2 linked regions of the Notamacropus eugenii genome follow. The protein of the gene in region 1 binds, or shares a complex with, the protein of each later gene. Links are inferred from orthologs where the notes say so. Each region holds a gene or a part of one and is shown in the gene's direction. Other genes may lie near its edges. The genes, in order: KATNB1 and KATNA1.

Evidence for each region.
Region 2: the proteins of KATNB1 (region 1) and KATNA1 are in contact, whole or in part, in a crystal structure (PDB 5OW5), measured with the Mus musculus proteins. The link is inferred for Notamacropus eugenii from reciprocal best matches to the Homo sapiens genes KATNB1 and KATNA1. Residues at the interface, in NP_083081.2 of Mus musculus: Leu485, Val486, Asp487, Glu488, Ala490, Met491, Gln493, Ile494, Arg495, Gly497, His498, Met501, Phe502, Val504, Leu505, Thr506, Arg508, His509, Leu512, Asp513, Val515, Arg516, Trp519, Thr521, Asp542, Leu543, Ile546, Gln549, Lys550, Leu553; in NP_035965.2 of Mus musculus: Leu5, Gln6, Ile8, Val9, Val12, Arg16, Ala19, Leu20, Leu21, Gly22, Tyr24, Tyr31, Tyr41, Leu50, Lys53, Trp54, Gln56, Val57, Glu60, Ile61, Val63, Glu64, Gln67, Val68, Asp70, Ile71, Thr74, Leu75, Ser77, Phe78.

What each region holds. Positions count from the first base shown.
Region 1 is NC_092872.1:716,382,936-716,399,730, reverse strand, and holds the start of KATNB1 (katanin p80 WD40 repeat-containing subunit B1), read left to right. Parts: upstream 1-8,744; 5' UTR 8,745-9,004; intron 9,005-9,048; exon of another isoform or gene 9,049-9,155; intron 9,156-10,897; 5' UTR 10,898-11,177; coding exon 11,178-11,217; intron 11,218-14,487; coding exon 14,488-14,618; intron 14,619-16,117; coding exon 16,118-16,235; intron 16,236-16,795.
Region 2 is NC_092873.1:241,694,270-241,710,790, reverse strand, and holds the start of KATNA1 (katanin p60 ATPase-containing subunit A1), read left to right. Parts: upstream 1-8,353; 5' UTR 8,354-8,485; intron 8,486-16,521. UniProt on the Homo sapiens protein: Catalytic subunit of a complex which severs microtubules in an ATP-dependent manner. Microtubule severing may promote rapid reorganization of cellular microtubule arrays and the release of microtubules from the centrosome following nucleation.

The sequences.
Region 1 (16,795 bases):
TAGCAAAAGATAGAGAGCATTATGTAAAATGGATAATTTTTATTACATTAAATTAAAAACGTTTTGCATAGACATAACCAAAGCAACTAAGATTAGAAGAAAAGCAGGAAATGGAGTGGTGGTAGAAATTTTCAGAGTATGTTTCTCTGGTAAAGGTTTCATTTCTCAAATATATAGGTAACTGAGTCAAATTTATAAAAATATGAGTCATCTCCTAATTGATAGATAGTCAAAGGATATGAACAGGCTTTCAGAAGAAGAAATCAAAGCTGTCTATAATTAGATGGAAAATGCTCTAAATCATTATTGATTAAAGGAATGCAAATTAAAACAACTCTGAGATACCACCTCACACCTATCAGATTGTCTAATGCGACAGAAAAAGGAAATGGCTAATGTCGGAGGGGATATGGAAATATTACTGGAAAACAATTTGAACTATGACTAAAGGGTTATAAAACTGTGCATGCCCTTTGATCCAGCAATACCACTACAGGTCTGTATCCCAAAGGGATGAAAGAAAAAAGAAAAAACCCTATAAGTACAAAAATATTTACAGCAGCTCTTTTTGTGGTGGCAAAGAATTGGAAATTAAAAATATGTTCATTAACTGGGGATTAGCTGAACTAACGATGGTATATGATTTTGATGGAATACTATTTTACTGTAAGAAATGATGAGCAAGATGCTTTCAGAAGACTGGTGCAGAATGAAGTGAGAACTATGAATTGACATGAGCTGATGTAGAGTGAAGCGGGCATTAGCACAAGAACATTCAACACAGTAAAAACAATTTTATGTAATGATCAATGGAGTGGCTTGACTATTCAAACCAAAGCAATGATCCAAGACAATTGCAAAGGGCTTATGGTGAAAAATAGAGAACTGATGGAGTCTGAGAGCAGATTGAAGCATAATTTTTTTCACTTTTTTGTACCATGGCTAATATGAAAACAAATATTGTGTGATTTCATATGTACAATGGAGATCATATTTCTTGCCTACTCAATATGTGAGAAAGGGGTAGAAGGGAGAATGAGAATTTAGAACTCAATGTTGCTGTTTTTTAATGAATGTTATAAATAAGTGTTATTTTTAAATAAAAGCAATGAAAGACAGAGGCTTGTATTTTTTCCTAGAAATAATAGGGAGCTATGGGAGCTGATTAAGCGGACAGGTAACATGATCAGATCTGTGCTTTAGGCTTTGGTAGTCACATGGAATATGGGTCAAAGACTTGAGGTCAGGAGACCCATTAGAAGGCTGTTGTAGTTAGGTAGGCCAGAGGTTATGAAATCCTGAAGTATCTTATTGGAATTGAGAGCTAGACTTGGAGTCAAGGAGGACCTAAATTTGAATTCTGCATAAAATACTTACTAGTTGTGTAATTTTGGACATCACTTGACCTCTCTCAGGCTCAGTTGCTTCTTCTGTAAGTTAGAGACCATAGAGCACCCACATCTAGTGACCTCCCATATTTTATTGGTTCACCTCCACAATAACTCACATCCATTCTCTTCTATCTACCTGCACTGGGTTCAAAGCCTCTTGCCTGGACTATTGTAAAAACCAGCTAAAATCCCACCCTTTGCAAGAATCTTTCTGAATACTAATGCCTTTTCTCTACTGATTATCTGCAATTTATCCTGAATACCTCTTGTTTGTACATAGCTGTTTGTATATTGTCTCCCCAATTAGAGCAAGAACTATTTTTAACTTTCTTTGTATCCCCACCACTTAACCAAGATGCCTGGCACCTTGTGGGCACATAATGTTTCTTGACCGACTTAATTGACAAGTTGACATTAATTTTCCTCACAATCTTTATTCCAGCCAAACTGGACATCTGTTCCCTGAATTCAATGACATTTAAACTCCCACCCTTATACATTCTCATAGGCTGTGCTTCATGCCAAAAAATGCACTTCCTCCTAATTGCTGTCTTTTCAAAGTTTTCCTTTGAAATTCCTTCAAAGTTTTAGCTTAGATGATGCCATCTCTGGGAAGCCTAAGCTCCACCTGCCCCCATCTCCACCCCTTCCACCATCCTTGGCGTTGTCTCTTTTTCCTTAAATATCCCCAAAGCGTTCAGCTTCATCTTTCCTCCAGTCATACCCTGACATATATATTCAGCATTACCTGTGCACGTTATTCCTGTACCTCAATAAAATGTAAGCTCTTTGAAATTAGCACTGTGTTTTAGTCATCTTCAAGCATAATGCCTTCCACATAGTAAGTGATTAATCAATGTTGTGTGTGTGTTTAATTAAATGGAGATGGAGAATGGAGGTTTTGTCCACTTCATAATTTTTCCTGGTTCTAATCTTGATGAATGGTTTTGGGAACCCAGACCAAGTTTTTCCCTCTATCCTGTCCCCCTCCCCTCTTTTCTGTCTCCTGCACTGGGGTTTGATAAGGCCCAGGACATTTATCTAGTGTCAGACAGTTGGTCTCCCCTGATCAATCGGTAGCGTCCCATCAGGGTCACATGACCACTATGTGGTCACTGTGATAGTCTCAGGACACAACATTGCAACAGACCCATAAAGATAATCTTAACAACCCTATTGAGGCTGCAATGGCCTTTCTGAGAACTCCAGGGCTATGTTTCCCTGGCCCCACCCTTCCCTAAGGATTTGGATTATTTAATTATTATTTAAATACATGGTCTTTTTTTTTTTTAAATCACTTTAAAGGATTAAAGAATGTAAAATCATCAAGAACATGGTCTCATTAATCTGAGAGCTACTTTATTACCCTGAATCCATCTTTTCTCCTAATTTTCTCATTAGTTAAAACTAAGTCTGAGTATCTAGGGTTACCTCTCCTATCACCAATCATCAGCTGAACAGTGGAATATGCTTGTATGTGCTCAGCTCTGAATATAGCCAGAAGGGACATAGAGAATGATAAGCAGAGCTAGCCTTGAACACACAAATGACCAGTTTTCAATACATTGGGTAGTGTGACTTGGTGGATGGTGATATATTTGGAATCAAGAAAACTGGAGTTCAAATTCTTTCTCAGACACATTCAGTTACTCTGAATCTCAGTTTGTTCATCTGGAAAATGAGAGGACTGAATTGATCTTAAGTATTTTTATTTTGTTGTTTAATTGGGTTTTTAATTTGTTGGTTTTCTAGAGTTTTTTTAATTGCACACCTAATTCATTGATTTATTATTTCTCTATTTTAGTGAGGAAAATATTTAGAGATATACATTTTCCCCTAAGGACTATTTTGGCTGTATCCCCAAAATTTTGATCCATATATGTCAAGTATTTATATTAATTCATTGTCTATGGTGTCTTTCAGCATAATTTGTCTTATCTTCTTTAACCACGGTAACTTTTGCCATTGACTTGTCTGAGATAATGAATATGCTTTTTTTGAGTTCAGCTGAAGAATAATAGTTTTTATTGTTGTTCTGGCTTCATATTTTAACTGTGTGTTTCTTTTTAAAATAACATACTTTTGGATGATGTTTCTAATAAATTCTGTTATTTTCTTCCTTTTTATGGGTGAGTTTATTCCATTTATATTCATAGTTATAATGATTAGTTTTCCATTTCCCAACAATTTATCTTATGTTTTCTTTTTCCCTCTTCCCCTGCCTCCTATCTCTGTCTTTACAAAAAAGAGAGTGATTAAAACAGGAGTGTGTTCAGTACTAGTACTTCAAATGACTTCACCTTTGTATGGACCCTTCTTATTGCTAAGTGAAGCTACTTTTTCATGTTTTCTCATAACTTGTGTTAATATTTCAATTTTCTACTCAACTCTGATCTCTTTATTAGGAATACTCAGAAATCTTCTGTTTCATTAAAGGTTAATTTTTCCTCTGCAGAATTATAAAAACTTTTTTTTTTTTTTGCTTTTTCGGGGGATGTTTTGCTGGGTAAGTTATTTTTGGTTGTAAGCCTCTATATTTTGACTTTCAGAATGTTGTGTTTTAATCTCTCTGCTCCTTTATAAGGGTGGCTAATCAATCTAGTGCAAACTTGACTATGGCTTCTTGGTATTTGAATTCTTTCTTTCTGGCTGCTCGCATCATTTTTTGTTTGACCTGGAAGTTCTGGATTTTGGCTATGACATTCCTGGGAGCTTTCATTTTGGGGTTTCTTTCAGGAGATGACCAGTGGATTCTTTCTATTTTCACTTTTTGCCTTCTGGTTTTAAGAGAACTAGACAATTTACTTTCCTGCTTTCTTGAAATGTGATATACAGGGGTTTTTACTAGTATTTTAGGGTTTGGGATTTTTAGTCTTAGTAAGCAGGTAATTCAGGACTTATTTTCCCAATCAGTTGTTTTTCATGAATTGACTTACATTTTCTTCTCTTCTTTCTCCCAGAATTTTGACTTTGTTTAGATACTTCTGGTTTTCTCATGAAGTCATTAATTTCTATTTGATAAAATTCTAATTTTTATAGAATCCTTTACTTGAGCAAGATTTTATATTTATTATACTAAACTTTAAATTCTCCTTCCAAATCTTTTCTCCAGTGCTTTTTTTTTCCCAATTTTTTTCCTCTAAAATAATTTCATTTGTAATCTGAACTCTTTAAAAAAAAATCTCTTGCTTTATTCATTAGCATTGGTAAACATTACCATCATTCAGCAACCTTTCTCACATTGAAGTTCATGCTTTCCAAATTTATCCAGATCCAAGTGACTATTTTACTGATCTCTAGGATATTCTTCCTCCTTTCTCAATGAATTGAGTACATGGTTCACAGTTTATTTGTACTTGTATCCTCAGTGCCTAATACAGTGTCTGTCATATAGTGTTTAATAAATACTTGACATTGATAAGGTACTTGTTGAAGTCAAACAGCCTCAAATAGCCTGATCTCCCATTTCCCCACTTTGCTCAATTCCCATACCTACTCCTCAATTCTATTTCAGTGATCCACAGAGATTGTCAAAATCTTTGATCTATCCATTACCCATAAAAGTCCTGCTTCCATGACTGAGAACTGAGAAATTCCTTTATCTGATCACAACCTCCTATCACTATATCTCTCCCTTTGTTTTATATTCTTTTCCTCACCATGACATGTAATCTCTCTCCTCTCTGGTATCACAGAATCACAAAACTGGTCAATTGGGACTCTTCAGTGAACTTCTAATCCAACCTATTTACAAAAGGAACGCCCACTATAACATACCAGACAAGTGGTCATATTTTGCTAGGCTATCACTCCTGCTTTGTCTGCCTCCTTCTGTCTCAATCTCAACCTTTTGGGGACCCTGTTGGACTCTAAACCATCCTCTACTCTTGAATGCTTTACTCCCTTTTACATTCAAAGATTGGATCTTGTCAAAACTTGATCCTGGATTTATTTCCTCAAACCACTTCCTCCACTCCTACTCAGCTGCTGCAAGCTGGAGAAAGTCATGCAACTGTACTGATGAGGTCTACTACAAATCTGTATTATCAAATCTCAAGTGTATAATCACTGAAAAACAATCCTTTTAATCCTTCATACTCTTCTATCCCATTCTCAATAATGGCTGTTCTGAAAGTTTCTTTTCTTTTTTCTAGGCTTCCACAGTACCTACTTCTCCTACTCTCTTAGCTGAGCCCCTCAGTTACTGAAAAATAACAAAACCATTCACCAAGAGATCCCTACTTTCCCTTCTCCCCACCTACCAACCCTTCCTTACTTCCCATCTCTTTTACATAATACCCCATCATATCTTCTTTTATTCCAATTTCTGTTAAAAAGGTGTCCCTTTTCACCAAGGCCCCCTCTACATGGGCCCATGTATCCCATCTCGTCCCATCTTATCCATTAGATTACTCCCAATCATCATCATCATCATCATCATTATCATCATCACTCTATTTTTCACTTTGTTTCTGTCTACTGGTTCCTGCTGACCACAAATATACCCGTTACCCTGATCCTTAGAAGTAAAAAACTCACTAGATCATCATCTCTGATAACTATCACTATTTCTCTACTGTTTTTCTTAGGAAATCTTAAAAAAGCAATCTTCACAAAGTGACTGTTTTCTTTCCTCTTTTCATAGTACACTACAATATGGTTTCTGATCTCTTCATTCCTCTGATCTTGCTCTCTCCAAAGTTACCAATGATCTCTCAAATGATAAATCAAATTTCCTCTTCTCTGTCCTCATTCTTTTTGACCTCTCTATGACATTGACACTGCTGATCATCTCCTGGATACTCTCTCTTCTCTGGGTTTTCAAGATACTTCTCTCTCCTGATTCTCCTTCCACCTAATCCTTCCTCAAGTCTCCTTTCAGATTCATCATCCATGTCAAGTCCACTATTGTGAGTAAATCCCAAACTCTCTTTTCTCTATATACTCTCTTAATTGACCACCTTATCAGCTCCCATAGATTCAATGACTACTTCTGTGCAGATTTTTATATCTGGTCCTAGTCTCTCTGCTGAGTTCCAGTACTGGATCATCAAATGCCTATTGGACACTTATAACAGGCTATCTCAATTTGAATGTCTAAAACAGAACTTCTCTGCATCTACTTCTCCTCCAAACTTCACTATTATTGTGAAGACTACTATCATCCTTCCAGGTACCTAAGTTCACAACCTTGGTATCATCACACATACCCAATTAAATTGCCAAATCTTGACATTTCTATATTTACATTTTCACCACCATCTTAATTCAGGTCTTCATTACTGGACTATTGCAATACCTCCTATGTGGATTCCAAGTCTCTCCCCACTGTTACCAAAGTGATCTTCCTGAAGCATAGATCTGATCATGCCATTCCTCTAAATAAACTCCTTTCTTGTTTTTATTCTTATTGTTTAGTCATTTCCAGTCATGAGGTTTGCTTGGCAGAGATGGTTTTAGAGTGGTTTGCTATTTCCTTTTCCAGCTCATTTTCCAGATGAGGTCAACAGGGTGAAATGACTTGTCCAGTGTCACATAGCTAGTGTCTAGGGCCAGATTTGAACTCAGGTGCTCCTGACTCCAGGTCCCAAACTCTTTGTCCACTGCCCTACCTAGCTGCCTCTCCTAGTACCTCTAGGATCAAATGTTTATGTTTTTTAAATCTCTTTACAATCTGGCCTCAACCTACTTTTCCAGTCTTCTTAAACTTTAGTCCCCTCCTAGAACTTCTTGATCCAGCTATATTGACCTACTCAATAGGTTTTACATACACATTATTCCATCTTGTCTCTATGCTTTTGCACTGACCCTCCTCCATGCCAGCAGTGTACTTCATTATCTCTCCCTTTAGAATGACTAGTTTCCTTAAAAACAACCCAAAAAACCCTGTGGTTTCCTTCAAAATTCAGCATATCACACAGTCTACAAGAAGCCTTTCCTGATGCCTAACCCCCTCCCCCTCTTTCTAGTGCATTCCCTTGAATACATTGATATATATAAAACAGTATTTTATATGTAGCACATATAATATAAATTACATAGAATATAGTTTATTAATATATTTATATGGTTTATATAATAAACATATTATATATATTTATATATAATGTATACAAGGAAATTTACTAGTATACTTATACACATATGCATGTGTGCGTATTATATGTATGTATATGTATACACACACATACTTGTGCATGTACATGCTATCCTATTATAATACAAGCCTCTTGAAGTCAGGGATTTTTTTTTTTGTCTTTTTATCTCATAGACATTTTTTTCATTTTTGTCTCTGTATCCCAGTTTTTAGCAAAGTTCCTGACACATAGTAAGATCCTAATAAACTGCTTGCTTGCTGACTGATAAGATCTGAAACAGGTCAATAAAGTTAGAGTCTCCTGTGAATTACAATATTTTTAAAAATGTCTTGTCTTTTTTTTACATCATTATTTTCCAAAGGCTCTCTTCCTCTCTCCCCTTCTCCCCTCCTCCAAAAATGACCCTTTCTTTTAACAAAGCATGATTAAGCAAAGCAGCAAGCTGGCCACATGGGAGAGCCACACTATAGCCAGTCCACCACCAAGCTGGCCACATGGGAGAGCCACACCAGAGCCAGTCCACCACCTCTCTGCTGGGTCAGAGGCACCCCTGAAGTCACCACCATTCTTTGCATTGATTGGGTTTTCATCAGTGTATACAAGTCTTCACAGGTTTCTCTGAACTCTTCATCTCCGCATTTCTTTCGGAACAGTAAGATCCATTCCATTCCATTCATAGGTTACACTGGCTTCCGCCATTTTGCTACACGTGGTGCCGCCATTTTGTCAATCAATGGGTTCCCACTTTCCTTCCAGCTCTTGGATACCCCACCAAGGGCTGCTCTCGGGGTGGCCTCCTCCTTTGACCTCATCACCGCCTTCCTGGCCTTGGACCCTCTCTGGACTTGGGATCTCCTTCTTCTTTCCCAGCTCCACAAGTCTACGACCTATGAACCAGCACCCACTCCTTGAAAAACTGGACTTTGACCACTTGGCTACGTGGACTCAATTTCCTCGTGACTCTTGAGCCCCAGGGCTGGAGTAGAGGAAGGAGTCAACTCTGGAAGGTCACTTTTCCCACTTTGGACACTAAGATATCAGGGAATGGGGCAGGGGGAAGAGTCTCGCCTCAGACTTGCCCAAAATCAATACGACAGCCCAACTACTTCACGGTTCTCCTCAGGATTCTTTCTATTGGCTGAAGCCCGACTGGCCTCCCAACAATGACAACTGTGATTGGTTGGAATCTGGACGGTTGCTAAGGGGATTGGTGCGGACGCCGTTGGAGGCGTGCCGCAGACTTTCAAACTTAAATGAGAATGGGGAGGAAGGTGGCGGGGGGCGGGACCAGGATGGATGGAGCTCCGAGGTAGAGGCGGGACTTAAGAAATCGCAGGAGCACATTGGCTCACCATAGACCGGGGGGAAGACCTCGAACATCCTTTCATTGTGATTAGTCGAAATTAGTGAAAGAGGGGCCGTGATGAGGGAGAGCGGCAGCAGAGCCTTTCTTGATTGGTGAAGATTTCCTGGAAGGCGTGGCATCCGCGGCGGCTGATTGGCCTGAGGGAGAAGGTAGGCGGGGACGGAGGCCGGAGGTTTTGTTGTGAGGGTCGGTTGTCAAGCAGCGACCAATCAGGTCCGAGGATGGAGTCAGGTGGGGGCCGCGCTGGGAGCGGAGCCTCCACCGTCCGAGCAGCCTCCGCCGCCGCTGCCCCCGCCGCAGGTGAAGAAGGGGGCGAGGGCGGGGGCTGAAGGGCCGCGGTGGCAGGGAGCGGCCTGGGTCCGTGCCTCCTGAGCCGTGGAGCCGGGGTCGGGGGCCCCGCGAGAGGCCGAGAGCGGACGGCCTTCCCTCCACGGCCCGGCCTAGGCTCCCGGCCCCGGCCCCCGCTCCCACCAACCCCCGGCCGGGTGGGGGGGAGGATCGGAAACGGCGCGCGCCGGGTGGAGGGGGACGAATAAAGAGGGGGGACCTGAGGGGGCGGGGCCAGGGGCGCCGAAGGGTGGAGTGGAGGGGCAGGAGGAAGGGAGAGAAATTGGGGGTGTAGAAGGATGGAGGTAATGGGGCGATGGAGCGGAGAGGAAGAGGGAAGGGGACAGAATTGGGGGGCGCAGGGGTGGGGAGAAAGGACGGAAAGATGGGGGGCAGAATGAAGGGAGAAGATGGCGATGGTGATGGGGGCGAACGGAGGGCAGGGAGATGGGGCGCCGTGGGTGGATGGACAGAAGGACTGAAGGAGTGAATGCAGGGGGGCGGAAGGGGGAGGGAAGAAGAAATAAGAAGGTGGGAGACTGAAGACACAGTGGAAGAGGACGGAAGGAAGGGCAGGAGCGAGGGCCCAAGGGAGGGAGGAGGGAGGGATCGCCAGGTGTGGCTGGGCGCCTGTGGAGACACCTTGCTGCTGGTTGTCAAGCTTCAGGTTCACAGCCCTTTCTCCAAGTCTAATAACCAAATAGTAGTTATTTCTCTCTTACCCAGGAACCCTGAGGGTCTCACCCTCCCAGTTTGAGTTGTTTTTGATTCAAGGGGTCATCCTTTGTGTAACTTAAAGAAGCGTATTCATGGAATGGATGGTTCTCACTCAAAGTGAGAATGTGTTAAGACCTTAGCCTGAAAGGACCAGGGTCCCACACTGCATCCTGGACCATCTCCAGTCATCCTGATGAATATAAGGCCCCTGGACCCAGATGGCTCAGGAGAAGAAAGTGAGGCTGGTGACCTTGCACAACCTTGCTTCACTCAAATCAAAGTCAACTGCAAGTCATGTCATCCTCTTGATGTCATGGTCCTCTTTGAGAATGAAGGACAAACACATCCAACAATAACCAAGTCAACCCCTTTGGCTACTGCCCTGGGGAGAGTGAAGGGAAAGTAGTGATCTGGAAGAATGGGACTTCCTTAGTTCTGTTATAAAGAGATATTCTCTTTAGGATTAAATTATGATTTCCTTTGGGACCTGTGAGGTAGGGGTTCCTCCTGCCCCCTCTTCAGTTCCATAACGTCTTGCTTTGAAACAACTCCCTGAAAAAGGCTGAGTGTTGGGTGGGCTGGCACAGGTTTGTCAGCCTTCTTTAGAATCACTTGATTCTATCGCTTGATTGGCAAGGGAGGAGGAGGGTGGTACCTCTAGTGATTTGGATTTTGTCATTGTAAAAATCAAGCCTTTCCCTGAATTTGTTTGATATTAGGAAACAAACATTGTGTGGCTGTCTCTGTGGTCATATTGAAGACTTCATAAGAATCCACTTTTTCTGTTGCTAATCAAAATGATCATATTTAAGAGAACCCACTCTGTAGATGCTGCTGCTGAGAACACTAGACATACCTCCTCGTTCCTTCCAAAGCCAAAGGTTTTATTAAGGGGACTGGATACCTGTACTGGTTGTTGTTTTCCTTTAGATCAAGAGCTCATGCCCCTACTCATGGTATGTCAGGTAAATTTAAATGGATTTTTGTTTCCCTTTCAGGTCAACATAACTGTACAATGGACCAAAACTGATTCTTCATGCTCTGGGATGTGTACTGCTAGGCACAAACTGCTTGCTTGGATGTTATAAAACGGGACTTAACAAAGGGCCACAGAAGAGGGAATTATCTCTGCCTGGATGTGTCGAAACTACGCTCCAACTTGAGACTTGAGTCTGGGGGGGTTCTTCCCCCACCCCACCGGGAAAGTGGAGTGCTCCCTTCGCAATTCTTCCTGGTTGGTTTGGGGGTCCACGCCAACTGAAAGGAAAGGCTGCACAAATGGCGACCCCTGTTGTTACCAAGACCGCATGGAAGCTACGTGAGTCTCCTGCCTTTCTTTTTCTCTTGCTGTCTACTTGTTAATCTTGTTAGCCACCTGTTGTCCTGTGGAGAATGAAGAGTTCCAGAGGGGACGCATATTAGCCTTCAGCATCCTTTCTTATTGGCTCAAGGATTTTGAGTTAGGCTGATGGGTTGGACAGAGTAGACTAAAGAACATGCCCTTGATGGTTTGCTGCAACCTTTAGGGGAATTTTATAACAGGAAATAATGTTGTTTCCTTGTCAGGGTGACACCTTTGCAAAGGGTCACTGACTAGAGATGGAAGACAAGACCTGACTTCCCTCTGAATCATTCTGCCAGACAATTGACCTACTCCCTTTTCCCACCATGGCCAGGCTCCTAGAGTGTTGCTTCTTACTGTACGGAGCTGGGATAGTGGCGAGAGAGTCGGGTTTGAGGATGAGGATCAGAGTTTGGAGGTTAGGATTACTCACTGCCTGTGTGAGCTTAGGAAGCTTAGGTAGGTCTCTCCCCTCTTGACCTCAGAGGTCTCTTCCAGCTCTCAGTCAGTGATCCTGGCCACCTCAAGTCCTAGTTAAGATGTAAGCAGGTGCCCATGTCAGAACTGTCCCAAGGAACTTAGGCCTTCTTGGTGAGACAGGAGCTGTTATGGGGCTGCTGTGTCTGAGAAATTTCTCCACGAACCTGACGTGGGCTCTGATTCTTCAGGGACCAGAGACCAAGACAGGAGTGGTGATCTAAGCCGAGGACTCCCCCCTGTCCCACTCATGCATGGATTGCTGCAGGACCCAGTTCCTCTGGTCTGGAAGCAGCTCCTGCCGGACCTCTGCTTGTCAGAGTGGTCCAGGGCTGTGGTCCGGAGGTCAGGCCTTTCCCCGGTGGCCAGGATGCAGTTGGTGCTGTCAGCCCTGGCCATGGCACAGACATGATGAGATTTAGGACAGGAGGCTCCCCTTGCCCGGGCCCAGGCTGGGGCTGACCCAGAGGCTGGCTCACTGCAGATGGCAGCAGGCAGGCGTGGCTTCCCTTTGGGCTTGCAGCCTGTTTTCTCCTCTTGGCACTGATGGATGATGTCACTGCTATTTTCAACAAGCACCTTAGCCATCATTTTTCTTGTTGATTATGTGTCTCTTGCCCTGGCCCTCCCAGATCAGAAGCCCTTCTCCATTCCCTGCTTAGTTGTGTCCCCTGCATCTGCCTGTTGATCTTTCCAGGGCCTAAATGCTCTTTTCCTGATGACCATTTAATCTCGGTGCAGCATGACACCCTCCCCCACTCCTGCAGAGTCACTGCCTTGGTCTCTAGGAAGTGTGCTCTGCAGCCGCAGAAGAGGCACAAAACATCCAGTCAGTAGCTCCATTTTACAGAAGGGAACACCGAGGCCAGGGGTGGGAAGTGACTTGCCCAAGATCACTTAGTAATAGTGTCGCAGCCTAGACCAGGTCCCCAGGGAGGGTGGATAGAAAGGGGCTTAATCCGATTGAAATACACCCTGAGAGCTCCTCAGAGAACAGAGCCCTGAGGGGAGAGCTGTCCTCAGTGGGAAATACCAGGGGCCCAGAGCGCTCACACAGGAAGAAACCTGGGGAGAGCCCCATGACCAAGGAGAAGTTGGGTCTGGTTGTGGCCATAGTGCAGGGGCCTAGGGCTGTCACCCCTGACCTCAGGGGCTGGTGACCCTGCCCCTGGTCTCTCTGCCCTCTGGTCTTCAGGTTTGTTTTTAGTAAGGAGCTTGTAGTTACGTACCTGATGAGGCCATTCTGCAGGGTTAACACAGTATTAGAATTACTTTGAGATCTTCAAGAGAAAGGATAGTCTCGCATGTGCAGACTGCCCTGTAGACTCCCAGTCATCAGCAGCAGTTGTAGAGGATGTTGGTTCATCAGCTGATGGGCCCTTCGAAGTCTGTGCTCCAGGGGCCCCTCAGAGCTCAATATGCCTCAATGTCCAGCTGTGTTTCCGGGACAGAGTCAGCGACCCTGCCCCCCCTCCACCCCCACGATGCCCCTGCCCCATTGTGAAAGCAGAAAACTTGGCACCCGATTGCTCTGCCACCTGGGAAAGGGATCTAGGAAAGCCCAGCACAGTCAGTGCTGCTGTAAGTCCTTGACACAGCTCAGGTCAGCCATGCTGACTACCCCAGAGGTCCTCTCACTCACTCCCTTGACACCTGAGACATGAACACTAAGTTCTTCTTCTTGGGTCCATGCTTTGCTTCATGTCCGGCCCTCCAGGACTGTGTAGTTGCCATGTGGGAACCCTTTGCCAAATGCAGGTCAGGGATGACCCAATGCCCAGCCTCTCACCTCCTCCTGCCCTGCATCACCCTGGCTCTGGCAGCTGAACACAGCCTCCTGTGTCCTTCCCCTCCTTAGATTTGTCCCCTCTTCTAGGACCTCACTCACACTCCGCCACCTCAGTCACGCCTCCAGAGGCAGCTCAGGCTCCAGCCCAGGTGGGCTCAGACATGGGCTCTGATGCTTCCTGGTCACGTGCCTGGGATGGAGCATTTCACCTCCCTGGACCTCAGTGTCCTTTTCTATAGAATGAGGGGTTGGTCTTCCAGGCCTCTGAGGTTCCTTCCCACTCTGAATCTATGGTCCTTGAAAGATTGACCAGGGGCTGGTCATTTACCATTTGGGGCCCAATTTCCTCTTCAATAAAATAAAGGTAATAAGAATTTCTCTCCCCAGTTTGTAGGAGCATTGTGATGATCAGTAAAATTGTTGGTCTAAACCTGGAGATTCTTGAGTCCAACCCCTTTATTTTACAGAGGAGGAAACTGAGGCCCAGGGAGGTCAGCAGCTTGCCTGAGGTTACACAGGCATTAAGTGTCAGAGACTGTGTTTGAACCTGGGTCTTCCTCAGAGACCATACCCTAGTCACTGGGCCATTCTCTTTCCTTGAGGATGAATGTCAGAGCCCTTTGTGGACTAGGAAGGGGATCCTGCTGGTCACTTCCTCCTCTGGACTCCTCTCTGCAGACCATGTATAGCCTTAAGGAAGCCGCTGTGCTGTTGTCTAGGATGGGGCTTTCAGCCTTTCCTCAGCCCTCAATTGTAGTTCAGAGTGGTCCCCACTAAGCCTTTCAGGTGATAGAAGGAAGCCATAGAGTTGGAGCCTGGAGGCTGAGGCTGCTAGGGCTTTCAAGCTCTGAGCTGATCCTGATTGGAACCAGGCCTCAGGCAACAAGGCAGGTAGTGTCGGGGGACACAGCTCCTCACCCCTCTGGGTACACTGCTTCCAGTGACCCTGTGTCTCTGTTCCATTCTGTTCCATTTTCTAGAGGAAATTGTGGCCCATGCCAGCAATGTGTCTTCCCTGGTGTTGGGCAAGGGCTCAGGACGGCTCTTAGCAACGGGAGGAGATGATTGTCGGGTCAACCTGTGGTCAGTTAACAAGCCCAACTGCATCATGGTAAGAAACACCAGATGGGGAGTGGGCAGGGTCTGGGAGGAGATGACAGAACCAGGCACTGGCCCCAGACCTGAGGTACTGACTCATCTTTCCCTCAAATCCATTTACACTGTGCTACTAAGTGACTCCAAGGAGCTTGGGAGAGATGTCCACTCTAACCTGATAGCCCACCCACCAAGGCCTAAGGAGCCTAGAGCCTCTGAGGCCCTACAGGCTGGGGAGGAGTTCAAGGACCTGGGTGTGAATCCTGATTGCTACTTACAACCTGTGTTACCTTGGAAAAGTCATTTAGCCTCTCAAGGCCTCAGTTTCCTCATCTGTAAAGTGAGAGTGGTGGGCCAGATGGCTTCTCAAATCTGTGATTCTAAGAAAGACATAGTAAGAATAGAGGGCAGAATGGACAAGCTGAAACCAATTGGCAGGAGCAGTGTCTGGTTTGGGAAGGGCCTGATGAGCAAAGGATGTGGCTACTATGGGAGCTTCTCCGTCCCTGAAAAATAGACCCATTTTTCAGCTGATAAGAATCAAGTTCCATTTGGGACAGGCCCACTTGGGAGATGACACTCTTAATGGGAACTAAATCAGCATGCATTCAGTCAGATGAGGAGGGAGCTGCTGTTCAGTGTTTACTCTTTGGATGACTTGTCCCCCAGGAAACGTGGGCATCTTCTTCAGATGAGCCATGCATGGGCAAACTGCATGGTCCATTTTCAGGAACAGCTCTGATCACTCATCTCCCAGTGTGATGAGTGAGGCCAGGGTGGCAGGAGACAATGATTATGCCTGTCAGCCCAGTTCCAGGGCCAAGAGAGTCTGCCTACCTCTGCCCCTGCCAGGACCTCAAGCCCCAGCCCCCTTGATCTCTCCTGGGGTATTTATTGAAACGGCTCTTGCCTGCTCTGACCTATGTGAGAATCTCCTCATCTCCCAAGCAGGAGTCTCTCACAGTCTCTCTGTGCTAAGCTGAGCCCCTGGGGAGCATGGCAGAATTGGACGCTGCAGTTAGGATGGTAGCAGCATCCCAGGGATCAGGTAATATCAGAGGGAACCTGCATGTCACAGCAGCATCCATCCCCCTCCGTAGGCCTGTTGGCTCTGGCCATGTGCTGTGTGCTGCAAGTCTTCACTTGGGCTCTGCGTGTTGTCTTGGGAGTGGGGACATGTGTGTGTGTGTCACATGCATACACGTGTGTGAGCAGAGCATGGAGAAGACTGTCTGCCTTTGCTGATTTTGGCTAAAAAGGTCACATGGGAGGAGAATAATGGTAGGCAAGGGCAGCAGCATCAGAGCCTCTAGAATGACACTGTCACCCTTTTAGAGTTGGGGAAACTGAGGCAAAGAAAAGTGATATCCCCAGAAGTTAGCCAGAGCTCAAGTCCCCTCATCCTCAGTCCAATACTATTTCTGCGCAGTTTTTATGTTTCCACTGGAAAAAATGAGACTCTGGCCCTTCCCTAAAAAGGGCTGCTGCTCTAGGCCTGTTGTCTTTTGCCCACAGAGCTTAACCGGCCACACGTCCCCCGTGGAGAGTGTTCGCCTCAACACCCCTGAGGAGCTCATTGTGGCTGGATCCCAGTCAGGCTCCATCCGAGTCTGGGACCTGGAAGCTGCCAAAAGTACGTTGGTTTCTTGCTTTTTCTCCATGCTTTTTGTCCTTATGTTCCCACTGAGGTTCTGTGGCCTCATGGGGCGGGAAGAGGAAAAACGCTCCTCCCAGAAACCTTTCATCTTGTTGTCAGTGAAGGATTCATTGACACAGTCGGTGCTTGTAGGCCTAAGGACGGGGTACTCGGCCCCAGCGGGGAGAATAAATGATCAGATCCCCCAGTGGGGGGCCAGGGAGCCCAGGACAGCCCGGTGTGCACACGGCTTGGCAGCACGCAGGCAGGGCCAGGCTCAGCCATTGCTGGTCCTCCTAATGCCGGGCCCAGCTCGCTGCTCTAGGTGTGCTAGTTGTCATCCTGGTAATTCCCATCATCATTCCTCTTGTTAGTGAAATTGCCCTCTCAGCCTGGAAAGTCCTCTGCCCCATCTGTGCCTGCCAAAATCCCGTCCTGGGCCCGGCCCCAATCTCGCTTTTCATTGTAGTCCTTGGTCTCCTTTCCTCCTCTCGTTCCTGCCTTCTCACATGGTTTGATCTGTCGTGCTCTTCTGACACTGCGCTGCGGGTCCTCGT
Region 2 (16,521 bases), on another chromosome or scaffold:
ATGCAGGAAGATGCTATCCACCTCCATAGAATGGACTGATAAACAGGTGTATGCATAGTGTGGTTTTACATATAAATCTGTGTAAAATGATAGCCTTCTCTAATGTGGGGTTAGGAGAGTGGGGGAGAGACAGTTTGGAACTTAAAATGTAACAACAAAAAAAAGCAATGAGTAATTTTACAAACATGCTTTTTAACCTGATCAGTGAATTCTAGGGTTCTAGTTTATTACTCCCATTGATCTCTCTCTCTGTCTCTCTCTGTCTCTGTCTCTGTCTGTCTGTCTGTCTCTCTCTCTCTCTCTGTCTCTGTTTCACACACACACACACACACACACGTTAAAAATGAATTGCTCTTCCACTACATCTGAAAAGCTGAAAAATGAGTATTTACCATCCACCTTGTTTTTTCAGTATGGATTGTCATACCTTTTTTCCAATTACTATGACTCATACTGAAAGGCTTTGGATCATTATGGAGCTTAATGGAATTGGCACAGTGCATTCTGCAAATAACATCTGGAAATGCTCTCCAGCAATAGGGAATACTTTGGACTGCATAAAGCAGTGATATCAAACCCAGATAGAGTCTGGGGACCACTAAACCATCCATCCATCAAGTGCAAGTCTTCTTGGGCAACAAAGGACAAACATGATCCTGTGAGTAGATGCAGCTGGCTGAATGCTAGCCGGGTACCTCACCTCCTGCTCTCCTATCTGCCTCTCCCTCCCCTTCCTTCTCCTCTCCAAAGGAAGGTAAATTTGGATGGCCAAAAGTTGCCCAGTAGACCTGAATTTTACTGCCTTCTTCCTTTCCTTTCCCTTCCCTCCCATCCTTTTCCCTTCCCTTCCCCAAGTGCGAATCCAAACCTCATAGAACATAGCCCCTTAATAAAAGGATTTGTTCTGTAAAACTTGACCTCAGTCAACAGGCCGCACTGAGGGCCTAGAAGGTCACATATGGCCTAGAAGCTGCAGGTTCCCCACCCCTGCAATCCCTTTTCAACTCAGTTCTGCTCAGTCTATGCCTCTTATTTTTCCTCTACCCATTCATTGCCAATGACTACTTTCCCTTCTTTGCTAAGATTAAGGCTTTCCTTGAGGAAAGAGTGAACCATTGATGATATGTGAATGTAAAGGAATTTTTTTTGTGCCGTATAAGAAATAACAAAAAAAAAGATAATGTCAGAGAAGTTTGGGAAAACTGGTATGAATTGACAATGAAGTGAGCAGAGCTTGAAGAACATTTCACAAGATGACAATACCATCGTAAAGACAACCTGGAAAGACTGACAAACTCTGATCAATGTAACAACCAATCATGATTTCCATGAAGTATGCTGTTCACCTCCTGACAGAGAGATGATGGATTCAAGATGCAGAGGAAGACGTACATTTTTTTTTAACACAGACATCATAGGAATTTGTTTTACTTGACTTTATTTGTTGTAAAACTCTTTTTCCTCTTTAAAGTGGTAGAGGAAGAGTGGAGAAGGAAAGGAAAGTTAGGGATAGGGGTACCAAGAAAAACACACCTAAAGAAAAAGGATAATTGAAACATTTTCAAAATGTACAGAATAGAGCAAAAGAAATACCAAAAGGATCCACAAGATAAGTAAGATAATTTTGAAGGTGACATTGACTTTGTTATATACTTAAAACAAAAAATCAGCTACATATAATGGAGATGTGGTTTCATGTACTTCCTTCTGTACTGTGGTATTTTACTTGATGTTAAATTCAGAATTTTAAAAAATGAGAAAAAATCAAGGCCTTCCACTGTGATGCTCCTCAAAAGTCCCTCCACTCCTAGCCCTCTTAATGTCCTCATCCATAATTTTCTTCTTCCCTCCAGTTTTAGATGATGGGACAGCTCAAAGAAAGACATCAACTTTAAATCTCTACTTCCCTATGACATCTTTCTTTAAAAAGCTAATTTTAGGTATCTTGGGGAAAATAATTTCATCTGCTTTAGCCTGTTGCCCTTCCTGTTTCTCTAATTTTCTTAAATGATTATCATTTCACACTCTGAAGTGCATGTTCAAAATGTAAAGTTTCTTTTTATCCTGTGACCTTCTTAAACCAGTAGCAGCTTTTCATTTATGATTTTTCCATATTAGCTTTTTCTTACCACTCTAGGCATTGGTTGCCTCATTCACAGAATAAGGAAGTTAGACTCAATGGCCCCTAAAATCTCTTCTAGCTCTAAATTCTCCTTGTTTATATCATCTCTTCTTGTTTAGAGTATTATGACAACTGTTTTCCTTTTCCCAGTCTATTGCTTCTTTAACCCCTCTACACACTACTGCCTGAATAATCTAATATTCCATTTTCATGCCACACGTGCAGAAACCTCCATTGGTCCTCTGAAATTGGCTTTTTGTAATTTCATAATTACAGCGTAGTAATATTCCATTGCATTCATATACCACAATTTGTTCAACCATTCCTCTTCATGGGGTAGGCTCCCATCTCTTTTTCTTTTAATTCACCCTTCAGGATCCATATGTTGGTTTTACTTTCTACTACTTCTCATCCAGTATTAGCCTCTCTCATCTTCATGCATCCCCACTTACTTCCCTATAAAATTTGATGTGTTTCTACACTAAATTCTTTGTGTGTTCAACCCTTCTTTGATCATTTCAGATAAGAATGAAGTTCATCTAATGTGCACTCTCTTCAACCTACCATGAGGTTCTTCCCGGATAGTGACAGTGTCAGAGGAGAGAAGGGGACATATATACAAGATGTTACAAAGGGGAAATTGGCAGTACTTGGAAACTGATTGGATATGGGAGGTAAGAGAATAAAGAATCTAGGGTGACGTAAGTGGCAAGCCTGCTGAGTGGGAGGATTGTGGTATCCCCAGGAATAACAGAGAAATTGGGGAGAGAGGAAGGTTTGTAGGGAAAGATTATCAGTTCAGTTTTAGACATGTTGCATTTACAATGTCTATGAGATATCCAATGCAACCTATTCCATAGACAGTTGGAGATGTGAGACCAAAGGTCAGAAGAGAAGTTAGGTCTAGATAAATGACTCAAAAAGTCATCTGGATAGAGATGATAATTGAATCTATGGGAGCTGAGGAGATCAAGAAAAATAGAATGGAGGGAGAAAAGAAGAGGGTCTAGCACAGAGCCTTGGGAGACACTCATGATTATCAGGTACAATCTGAATGAAAATCCAGCAAAGAACACTACAAAGGAGCAATCAGACAGCTAGGAAGAGAAACAGGATAGACTGGTGTCATGCAAATCTAGAGAGAAGAGATTATCAAGAAGAAAATAGTGTCAAAGGCTGAGGAAATATCAAAAAGGAAAGTTCCCGCTCAAAGCTGGGAAACAGTTTTTACAGCAAGTGTCTCTGATAAAGGCCTTGTTTCTAAAATATATAAAGAACCAAGTCAAATCTGTAAGAATACAAGTCATTTCCCAATTGATAAATGGTCAAAGTGTATGAATAGGCAGTTTTCAGATGAAGAAATTAAAGCTATCTATAGTCATATGAAAAAATGCTCTAAGTCACTATTGATTAGAGAAATGCAAATTAAAACAATTCTGAGGTACTACATCACACCTATCAGATTGGCTAAGATGACAGAGGAAAATGATAAATGTTGGAGAAGATGTGGGAAGATTGGAAAGCTAATACATTATTGGTGGAGTTGTGAACTGATCCAACCATTCTGGAGAACAGTTTGGAACTATGCCTAATAGACTATAAAACTGTGCATACCCTTTGACCCAGCAATACCACTGCTAGATCTGTATCCCAAAGAGATCATAAAAAAAGAGAAAAGGACCTACATGTACAAAAATATAGTAGCTCTTTTTGTGTGGCCAAAAATTGGAATTTGAGGGGATGCCCATTAATTGAGGAATGACTGGTATATGAATGTAATGGAATACTATTGTGCTATAAGAAATGATGAGCAGGCAGACTTCAGAAAAACCTAGAAAGACTTGCATGAACTGATGCTGGGGGAAGTGAGCAGAACCAGGAGAACACCACACACAGTAACAGTCACATTATGTGATGACCGACTTTGTTAGACTTAGCCCTTCTGAGCAATGCAATGATCTAAGACAATTCCATGACTCATGATGGGAAATGCTGTCTACATCCAGAGGAAAGAACTATGGGATCTGAATGCACATTGAAGCAGACTATTTTCTCTTTTGTTGTTGTTGTTTTTTGTTTTTTCTTTCTCATGATTTTTCCCTTTTGTTCTGATTCTTCTTTCACATGACTAACCTGGAAACCTGTTTAATGTGATCATACTTGGATAGGCTACATCAGATTGTATGCTGTCTTGGGTAGGGGAGAGTGGGGGGAGGGGAAAATTAGAAATCAAAATCTTATAAAAATCAATATAAAAAGTAAAAATGAATAAATTTTTTAAAATAAAAAATAAATTTTTAAAAAGGAAAAACCATCCTATTCATCATTTCTTATAGCGCAATAATATTCCATTACAAACATATACCATAACTTGTTCAACCATTCCTCAAATGATGGGCATTCCCCTCAATTTGCAATTCTATAAATTGCTGCTATAAATATTTTTGTACAAATAGATTCTTCCTTCTTTCCCCCTTTTTAAAAAATCTCTTTTGGATACATACCTAGTAGTGGTGATGTTAGGTCAAAGGGTATGCACAGTTTTATAGCCCTTTGGGCACACTTCCAAATTCTCATTCTTTTCTACTACATTCAAGACAGTTTTTTTCCCATTAACTAGGAGCTGACCATAGTTAAATCTTGTTCAGATGTACAAAGAGGGTACAAGACTTATAAAGAAATCATATGCCAGGACTTTAAGGGACTCTGATTTGCTCAGTTGCTTACATGTGACAAAATGTGTACAAACCCTTTCTTCAAGCTCAGATCAAGTTGGGCATACAATTTCTCTGAACATAGGCTGACCTTGGGCTGTGTATACTGTATGCATCTTGGATTTCTTTGACTTTGCATTACTCTTCAGATACAGCTTCTACCTCAGACCCATGTTTGATTTGTATTTCATACGTGGAATTCCAATAACAGACTTCTCTATATGTACCACCTCTTGCTTCTGGTCCTCATCTGAGCCTTACTCCCATGTGAACTTTTCCATATCACAAAATTCCAAACTCACAAAACCTTAGCCAATACTGTGGTAGATTTTTGGCCATAATCCCTGACCTCATCCCATTTTGGAATCAGGAGAATCAACATAATCCTTACATTGTAAGGGGGTAGATGTTCTGGCTAATGCTTGAAAACCTCTACTTTCACTTTAAGTGTCCTGAGGGGAATATGGTGACCATTATTATCCATCACTAATTTGGGATTTGCCACCCATTTCTTGGACCCTACATTTGCTGGAACTAGAGACATACTGGCAAGGCTGAAACAAATTACATGGTGTTTGGAAAGGCCAATTTTCTAGCTGCCAAACCTATTACCTAATTTATCATAACACTGTGTGTCTATACAAGTGGCAGATACCTAAGTGAGCAAATGTATGATAGGCAGGTTGTCCTAGGTGATTCTTATGACCTAAGTCTGTGTGACACTGCTTTTACAATCCATTATAGTTAAGACCAGTGGCAAACCTTGCCCTACGGAGAACAGAGTGAATGAATGAATGAACATTTAAGTTTTACCATGTGCCAAGAGTCTTGCTAAGTACTGGGGATACAAATATAGGCAAGCAAAAGAGTCCTGACATTCAAAAAGTATCCATTCTAACAGAACACAATGCATATAAAGGCATCTCAGCCAGGGAGGAGTGTTTTGTCTGTCTTTCCTATAATTCACTTACCTTTTCCTTTAAGTTTCTGGATATAATACCATTCTGGGCAAATAAGTACTTTTATTAATTCATTGTCCAAAGTACCTTTCAGAATAATGTAATTTCCATGTGAATCTCTTTTAATCAAATCTATGTTTGCTCTTGCTTTTTCCACGATTGCTACCCCTGCTTTTTTTATTTAGATTTTTCTGTAGCCTCTTATTTAAATTCTATAGAACTTTGTATTTCAAGTGTACTTCTTGTAAACAATATGTTGTTGGATTCTGTTTTTTAATGTCTGCCTATGGGGAGTTCATGGAGAAGAGTGCTTTTGGACAGGGAAGGCAGAGGGAAAGGTGATTGGAGTCACAGGACCATTGACTGGCATGTCCTTTCCAGGAAGAATAGGGCTGATTTCAACTACTGTTGTCAGAATTAGAGTTGGAAGAAAGGGGTCAGAAAGGGACAAGAAGGGTTTGCTTTCATCATCCTGACATGGAGATTGTAGGGAAGTGGATGGTGGATCTGAGTCCATTCACTCCCTAGTCCAACCAAGTTGACTGACCCTCTAAAGATTCAGTAACTGGGAATCTTGAACTTTCCAAGATACTGTGGATACATCTACTCCTTCTCCTATCTTATATTTAGCTGAAAAATGACTGAACAACAGCAGGAAAGCAAAGCACTTTTTACTCACCAACCGAACTTTTGACTGAACAACAAATCTGCCTAGATTTGGCAGTTAAGCGATCATTGGTGTCTTTGGGGAGAGCAGTTTTGTTTGCATGATGTGAAGTCTGCATGAAGCCAGACTTCAGAGAGTTAAGAAGAAAGTAAAAGAAGGGGAGGCATTGATTATAGTCTTTTTTTGTAGCTCAAAAAGGATTTTATTTTTTTAAAAAATTTAATTTGTTTTCAGTTTTCAACAATCACTTCCATAAGTTTTAAATTTTCTCCCCCTCCCTATTCCCTCCCTCCCCAAGACAGGCATGCCATCTTATATGGGTTCTCCACGTACATTCTATAAATAGCCAATTTAGCCAAAAAAGAGAGAAGAGATAAGAGATGATAGCTAGTGGAGATAAGCAGATCAGGGAAGGATTTCTTGAGGATGGTGGAGACGCGGGCGTGTTTGTAGGCAATAGGGAAGCAGTCAGAGGAAAAGGAGAGGTCGCCAAGACCAACGAGAGGGTCGAGATGATAAAGGGGGGGATCCGCTACAGGAAGCAGGAATAAACGGGATCCCTTGTATCTGGGAAGGTGTTGGCCATGGCAAGGAGAAGCGCCACCTCACTGCGGGACTCGCGGGGAAGGAGCAGACAGTAACAGAAGGGTGAGGGGAGAAGAGAGAGCTCCCAGCTAATGGTCTCAGGCAAGGCTTTAAGCGGGTGGGGAGGGGCAACTAAAGACGGGAAAGCAAAGGCACTACTTCAGCAACAGCTGGTAAGCTAGCTGGCAGCTCCTTGACAGCGCGGCCAAGCGTAGTGACAGGAAGACCCGAGTTCAAGTCCTTGGCTGTGGATCCACGGAAGTCAAACCACCTCTCAGCCTCATCTGTAAAAAAAAGAAAGGATAACAGGATCAGACGAGGTAACATATAAAACCCTGCCAACCTTTTAAGCCCTGCATGAATGCAGTTTGTTCTGTTGCATGGAATGGAGGAAGCTAACGCTGTGAAAAGGTGAGTCGGACCTGCTATAACATCGGGGGTCCCCAAAGTCCTAGGGCAGTTACAGAAGAAGCGCTTTACCACTTTTGGGGACCTGTGCGCGCGCGATGCGCACGTATATAGGCACGCACAGGTGTATGTTGCGCATACACACGTACGCATGCGCATTAAATAAACATAATTGTCTACCGAGCAAATACGAATTAAAGCATAAACAGGATGTAATGTATACAATATAGTCACACGACACGTGCACACACACCTGACTGCGTATACACAAATGCGTACACACACACTACTCTCTCAAAAGCTACTGAAGTTTAAAGCTGCACCGAGGCTTTCGGGACTCCGCGCGTGTATAGGCTACATCCACTTAAGGGGCACTCAGACTCAGAATCCCACGCGTGCGCGTGTGCACGTGTGGCGATGTGGGTAGGCTCTATCTCTCTGTCTCTCCATACAGTCTTTTTTTTCCGGCTTGGAGCCAGGGCTGACGGGGCCTCAGACGTCCAGGAGCAGAAGACCCCTCTCGGCGGAGGGGGAGTTCGCTAATGGCAGCCTACCCCTCCCGGAGAGGATCCCCCAAGGGCGGGCCAGGCTGGCTCCGCCCGCACGGTCCTCCGGGACAGGCGTCGGAGCTGCCGCGGCGGCGCTCAGAGCGCTCGCGACAGGTAACGCCGCTGCGGTCCTCGCCGCCAGCCCCACCCGCTTGCCGACGTCTGCGCGCTCTCCAAGACCAGGCGCGCGCACGCCCCGTTCGTCCTCGCTCCCGGGGCGTTCCCTTTCTCCCACGCATGCGCCCATGTCGCCTGGGCCGCCGCGGCCACCGCCGGAAGTGACCCTGGCGGGTTTGACTTCAAATTCTCTGTGAGGTGGTGCGGCGGCGCCGGAGGGGTGGCGGTTGGGCGAGGAAGTGCAGGGTAGGGGCTCGAGAGCCTCTCTTCCTTGCTGCTGGGGGTGGGCCGAAGGGTCCGTCCCGCCCCCTCGCCCCCCAGCCGCGGAGGACAGTTTCCAGCTCCGGACGCCGAGGCGGACCCAGGTGAGCCTCTCCCCTCCTTCCCTCCTTCCCCCCCGATTCTAAGGCCGCGGGCGCTGAGGCTGTGGGGGGTGGGGGAGGGAAGGCCGGGGGTCCCGCCCCGCATTCCGTGCGGATCCCTTTCCTTCTGTTCCTAGTGATCCCCGGCCCGCAGGCCCCGACTTGGCTGCTTGACACACCTGCTTCTCCGAGCCTGGCTTTCCCCTCCTCCCGGGGGCCTGGGGCCAGACCCCAACCCGCCCCCAGCCTCGCGGGACCCGAGAGGTCCGGAGGCCGGCCGGGCAGCCGCGGCGTTGGAAGCCTCCTTTCTACACCCCCCTTCTTTATTTGAAGACTTTCTTCTTCTTGATTTTAAACGAATGCCCTATTTTGGCTTTTAAGTTCCTGTGTCATTTGGAGAGTAATTATTTTAGTTTCTCGTAGCGCTGTCAAATTCTAATTGCCCCCCCCTTTAAAAAAAAAGTAGTTTTGGGGAAAGTTTCTTATTACATGTTGTTTTTTCCCGGATATTACTCCTTGTTGCATTAATGGCAAAGTTTCTGAGGAACGTGATTTTTCTCCACTGGAAAGGCTCTCTCGTCCCACGCCAGCACCTTGTGAAGAACGAAGCCAGTGTTTTGTGTTTGAATTGTGACTCCCGAAGGCTCCCTCTTAAAACAGTTCAGCTTTTGACTTGGGTCCTTTCTTGGATTGTGAAACAACATTGCTGGTGTTTTAGAATGTGTGCACAGACCTTTCCTTCCCAGTCACAATGGTAGAACACTTCTGATGTGATTTAGGTACTGTTCGTACAGGCTGAAAAGTTCTCGGTATAGAGTATGTAATAATGTATGTTATCTACATACGGAGTAGCCCAACTTTTCCAGAGGAGGATGAAAACTTTTTTAGAAATTAAAGGTGGTTCCTTGAATGAGACTTTTTAAAAAATTGGAAGGATAATTGGCACGATGGGCATTCTTGTACAAATAAATGTTAGCAGCCTTTCCAGGAAGCGAGGATAATCGTATACTGTTACATATTTCTTCTTAGCTTTATGTCATAAGCTAAAACTTTAAAAGACAGTATTGATTACTTTCCACCCAGTCCTAGATAATACACTTCAGAAATTTGGTAGGAAGTACATTGTGGAATTTTCAGTTTTTTTAGCATAGGGCTAAATGTTTTCCTTTTAACCTTATTGACTGTTTTACAAAGATAGTGTTCTTTGTCAGAAGGCATAGTATGTTGAGTCGTAGAATGTTGATTACTGATAAAATGCTGAGTACATTTAGTCATCCTGCTTGTTTGGTAGCTTAACTTAAATATGACTTTTTGTCTATGTTTTTGTTGAATTATGTATTTCTTCATCACCCACTGTTTTGTCTAGGATAAATTGAGCTTTATATCTTATCGTTAAATGAGTATGTATATGACTTTTTCCATTACAGTCATTTTCTTGCCTCAAGTTACATTTCTTAACAACTATAAAGAATAGTGTCCTCAATCCCCCATCTTTAAAATGTTTAATTTTTAAAATACTTTCCAAACATAGGTTACTCTAAGATACTCTTGTATCACAGCAATAACTTTGTCAAGCTTTAAAATGAGCAAAAACATCTACCAAGTTCTAAGTGGTCATGGGTCATTCATTAGTGATTATTCATCATTACCAGTGACTGATTTATAATATCTGCAAAATCTAATTACAGACCTCAGATGTTAGTTCAGAATTATTTACCAGTGTAACACCTTGTCCTTTTTTTGAAATTTGGTTTACTGAACTCTGGTGTATTTTATTAAACACTTTTTGATTTGACTTCAGGTAATGTATAGTTAATCTTTTTTATATATTTGAGTAAGCCAGTCTTGCAGAAAGGAGCAAAAAATTTTTCATAGATTTTTGTCCATATTTTAACAATGCCCCCATACTTGGATGTCCCCAAACCCCAGCACCTCAAAAAAATAAATTCAGAGGAATTTTTTTTTCTTTTGAGAGCTTTGAGGAAAGGAGATAGAGGGCTAAAGAGTAAGTAAGGTTTTTTTTAATTGCTTGTTCTCTTAACAAAGTATTTTCCCCCCCCTCCCCTTTTTGATTATTTCCTAGTTGTATGTGAATAAAAGAACTGTACTCACACTTACTACATAGATATCACATGTGGTCTGACCTTTCCGAAACATCAGATGTCATCGCATTTCATTTAAAAATCTGATCTTGCTGCTTATTTTATTAGCATCTTGCTCAATTAATTTTAATGAGTTTAGTCATCAGTTAAGTCATTAATCCCTCACAAGCCACCTAAACAAAGGATGACTCTCATGGGATGAGAGTAAGTGGAAAAGCTTGTTCTGGAATGATGTAGGTGCAACCTGTGATAATTGTGAGAAGTAATATTTTATGAAGTTAAAATTCTTTGAAATTTTTTGGACAAAAATATAGTTCGTTATCTTGTTAAAATTATGAAAAATTAATTTTTGTAGGATTGCATTAAAATGTTGAATTAATAACTAGTGTTCAAAAATTATAGTTAAAATTAGGTGCATTAGCTTAGTGGAAATTTAGGGTGAGTATTAAAGGGTGAGAATCTTGTAGAACTATACAGTATTGTCATTAAATTGGGGAGGAAGATGGTGTTTAGGGTTACAAAACTGTCTAAAAGAGTAAAGAAAATGTTCTTTCAGTGCTTGGTACAGAGTGATTGTGCTATATAATCAATAACCTGTCTTTTACAGGACTAGATGTTTCTTAAACTGGATTCTTTTTAAAACAACAAAATTGTAAAATGACAGGTCATTGCCCATAAGGAATATCTGACCAGATGATGAAATTTGCTATAAACATTACTTTTTAAAGCCAAGGTAGAGAAACCTTGTTTACTTATCACTGGTTTCTACCCCTTACTCCCTTTTCACTTCACAAAGAGGTTAAAAAAATGTTTATTTATTTGTGTATGCATCATGCATCCCTAATTTTATTATAAGTCTTAAATACAGGGTAGCCCCATTGGATTATAGCTTTAGAGTTGGAAGGGAACTTGGAAATCTCTAGTGCTATCACTGTCCATCCCTGATTTATATATGAGGACATCAAGACCCACAGAGGCAAAACCACTTGCTTAAGGTCACACAAATACAATATAAAAGACAATATTTGAACTTGATTTTCTGACTTTCTTCACTTTAGCATATACCTCTGATTGTGGCATAACGTTTAGCGATCATTTAGTTAATCAAGCAGTTCCTAAGCATTTATTCTGTATTCGGCCTTATACATACATACATACATACATATGTATGTATATATGTGTGTGTATACATATATATATATATTATATATATGAGTAGCTCAAGAAGTATTGACTACCATAGTTAATAATATGGGGTTCTTCTCTTCCTTGGGAGTGTGGGTGCTTGCAGTAATTCTGCACTATTAAGATTTAGAGTTGGAATGAATCTTAGAAGCTGTTGTCTAGTCCAGCTCCTTCATTTTACGGATGAGAAAATTGTGACCTGAGAGGTAAAACCCAAAAATCACACAAATTTTAAGTGTTTAGGCCAGAACTTGAACTAAGAACTTGAATCACTTCAAATTCAGTGCCCTTTTCACATTGCCACTTTTCATGACAGGACATTTCTCAGTATGCCTCCATTATTTTTTTGTGATTAGCAAGCAAAGTTTTCTTATTTGTGTTAGAAAAACCAATATGGGATGGATATTTTGTCCTGCTTAGTGTATTAGTATAGATTAAAGTTAGTCTTTCTATATTGGTTGATTTTTGCATTTCTAATTAATTCTAGATCACATAAGACATTATTTTACTTACTTTTTGAAAGAGTGCATTGAATAATACATTGCCTAAACTTGCTATTAAGAGTATTTTGCAGTAGGAAAAATCCCTCCCCAATTGCCAAAAAGTCTTTGTTCTCTTGAGTCCCATTAAAAATAAATTTAAGGGCTAGAGGGAGCCTACTTAGTGGAGCAGTCAAAAAAAAATAGATTACTTCCACCCTCCTCCTCCCTCCCACCCCCATCACAAGTCCTCCAAACAGAATTAGAAAAAATGTACCGGACTTATTCCTGATCAGGAAATCCAAGAAAAAGAGATGAAAGTGAGTCATTTTTTTCCAGCCCATGTCAGAATAGGGAGAAGTGTGTGGACCTTGGGAACAGGGTCTGGTGAGGAGCATGCTGCTGGGAGCATTCCATTGTGAAAGAGGCAAGAAGAGGTCCTGGATCCAGCATAGAAGTTCCTAAACTTGTTCTGGAAAAGCCACCCATTGGCAGCTCTGTGACACACTACCCAGTTTTGGGCCACAGATCCAGGGCAGATTGAAGAGGGGACCTTTGCTGAGGGATGGCATTCTAAGGTGAGGATTGGTCAGGGGTCCTTAGCTGGTTGCTAAGCAAGAAGCATATTCAGTAACAAGCAGCAGCTGTGTGGCTTGGACGCTCGGATCTAAGTGGGTCTTAGTTCCAAACTCCAAACCAGGCTGAAGCCTGCAGAGGAATAACCAGTACAGGAGCCCCAGACCAAAAGGGAGCCAGCTGTTATGTTATTCTGAACCAGGAGAGCTTTCCTAGTGGCTAACAATGAAGGTCAGCAGCAGCTATTGAAACTCCAAAGGAGTCAAGCCCACGTACTTGTAGCTCACACTCAAACCCAGTGCAGAAACTTTTGTTTGCAAAGTTCATACCAAGAGAGCAAGAATCAGACTTGGCCTTGACTCATACCACTTTGGGAGCAGTGAAGCTTTCAGATCTCTAGCCTGAATTGTCCTTGAAATTCTGAAATAACCCAGTAGTCAGTACCCCAAGAAAGCAACAAAAAGGCCAGTCCAGACCTTTCATCCAAAAGCTTGCAAAACCTGCCTGACATAAAGTCTGAAGTCAAGAAGTAGACTGGAAGAATAAGCAACAGAAAAAGAACTTAATCTTAAAGACTTAATATCTTGACTGGGAATCTGAAAATACAAACCCAGTAGAAGAAAATGGTTTTCGTAACATCTGCAAGCGAAGCCTCAAAACAAAGTGGAAGTTGGGCATAAATTCAACTAGAATTTCTAAGAGGAAGCACGTTTTGAAAAGCTTAAAAATGATTTTTTAAAAATGTAATTTAAAGTACATAGGGGAAAATTAGAAAAGATATTAGAACTGTGGAAAAAAGAATAGCTTGACAAAAGAAATTTAAAGCTTTACCCTAATAACAAATTCCCTGAAAATGAGAATGAACCCAAATAAAAGCTAAAGATTCCATGAGACAACAAAAATGCTAAAACAAAGTCAAAAGACTGAAAAAGAAAATGGAAGAGAATATAAATTGTCTCATGGAAAAAACATCTAATCTGGAAAACAATCAAAGTGAGATTATTTAAGAATCACTGGAATACTTAGAAGCCATGACCAAAAGAAAAGAGCTTAGACATATTTTTAAAAAATCATAAAACTGCCCAAATCTCTTAGAATCAGAGAACAAAGTAGTTCTCCCAGAAGGAGATCACCTCCTGCTCTAAGAAACCTCAAAATGGAAAAAAGCTCCCAGGAAAATCATAGCCAAAATCAAGAGCTTCCAGATCAAAGAAAAAAGTATTGCAAACAGCCAGAAAAAAAGAATTCAAATGCTGAGGAACCATAGTTAGAATCATTTATGATTTAATAGCCATCACTCTAAAGGAATAGAGACCTTGGAATACGATATTCCCAAAGCCTAAGAATATAGAATTACAACTAAGAATAACTTACTCAGCAAGACTGAATGTAATGCTATTTGGGGAAAAAATTAATTTTTAATGAACTAGAGGGCTTCCAAGCATTCCTGATGAAAAGATCAGAGCTAAGTAGAGACTTTGAATCATAAACACTAGAGTTAAGAGAAACAAATAGATAATCATGAACAAACAGGGATAAACTGTTTGTGTTGGAATATGCAGAGATGAGACAGACGTTTGTCCCCTCCAAATCCTATCATTAAGTGTCACTGAAGGAGTCTGTTTAGAATGACTGGGAGTGGTTCTGTTATCTTGATCTCAGAAGAATGGCAGAGAAGGAGATAAGGAAAACTTGGAGGTGAGGAGAAAAGAGGAGGAAGATTAGGAAAAATTATCCTGTATAAAAAGAATGAACAAATAGAAGTCTATACTAGTAAGGAAGAAGGGATGAGGGAGCAGTTAACATTTGAACCTTATTTATATCTAAACTGGTCAAAGGAGGGAAGAATACATACACAAAGGAGTTTGAAAATACATTTCACTCATCAGGGAAGCAAAAGGAAAGGGGGAGAGAAGGAAAAAGGGGAAATAAGGGGAGGGGACTTAGTCCTAAGTAAAACAAACTAAGATTTACAAAAATATTTATAGTTCTTTAGTGGCAAAGAATTGAAAATTTCTTGACGGAATGACTGAACAAGTTATGATACAGAAACATGATGGAATACTTTACGCTGTAAGAAATGCAGGAGAGTGAGAAGTCTTAGATAAGGCTACAGTCCCAAGAGATTGAAAGGATGTTGGCATCTTCAAAAAAAAATATGGAAGTTTCAAGGAAGGAAGAATTTGGGGGGAAGTTTCAGAGAAACCTGGGAAGACTTGTATAAACTGATGTCATGTGAAGTGAGTGAAACCGGAATATTTTATACAGTGACAACAGTATCGTAAAGATAAACATTTTTGAAAGATTTAGGAACTCGGATCAACATAGTGACCAGTCATGATTGCAGAGGACTCATGATGAAATGCGCCACTCATTCTTCAACCCTTTGAAAACTGGCTTCTAACCTCATCACTCAACTGAAACTGCTCCCCAGCTGGTCATTATTTTAATTGTTGATTTAATTTGACACTGTTGAACACTCTTTCTTCCTGTATATTCTTTCCTTGCTGGCTATTTGTGACTGTTCCCTCCTGGTTCTCTTACTGTCTGACTACTCCATTTCTTTTGCTGACTCAGCGTCCATATCATACCTCTTAACTGTGGGTATACACCAAAGTTCAGTCTTTACCTCCTCTTCTTCCTCAGTCATTTCTTGGTAACCCTGTTAGCACCCTTGGGCTCAGCTATTAACTCTATGCGGAAGACTCCTAGATCTATGTATTCATCCTTAATCTCTACCTTAACTTTAGTCCTATTCTTTGTTGTCTGTTTCATACTGGATATCCTGAAGACATCTGGAAATCAGCGTGTCTAAAACTAAACTCATTCACTTTCCCCCTAAACTCTTCTGTCCCAATATCCTTTCAGTCTCTAAAATTAGCATTTCTATATTTTGTAAAACAGGAGATTGTTTGTGAAACCCTTTTAAAGTACAGTTGTCCCTTCCACATTGGCAAGGAAGGTTAGGGGTACAACACTCCCATGATCTGGAAACTCAGTGTGAAATTTTTTTGTCCCTCTCTTCATCCAGAAAAGAAGTCTCAATTTTTTTCTTTTTCTTTTATGGGGTGTTTACAGTATTATTGTAAAAAATTGGGTTAAGTATTTGGCTTACTGTGTTATCTGTTAGACTTTGCGTGTTTTGCATGCAAAGTTCCATAAAACTACTCCCAAAATTTCCATTTAATTTCTTACGCTGACTTCTGATATATCAAAACCGCAATGGAGAAAGTTGTGATGCAGAAGGCATAACTGTGCATAATAAATTCAGTATGCAATTTTCAGATCTGTGTTGCTTGTCTGTGATTCCTTCTGGTCTTCTATTCCTAAGTCTTTCTCCACTTCCCCCCCTTTTTAGAACCCTATCTTCATTCCCTTTTCTTGTACCTCCCTCCTCCAGTTGAAAAAGCAAAGAAAGACACAATTCTTGTAATGAATATACATAATGAAGCAAAACAAATTTCCACCTTGTCTTCCTTTATTACTATAAAGATAAAATCTGATTATATTAATACTTATATTAGTTAATATTAATCAATGTTATAAAGATAAAATATAATTATTCTAAAGTAAAAACAGTATATTCTCTTAATTTAGCCTGTAGCATATATCTGATTCTCCCAGAAAGTAAATATTTATTTGTGCTATTTTAAAGGTCCCTAAATGTACCATTGTGTGACATTTTGCTGTTGTTGAT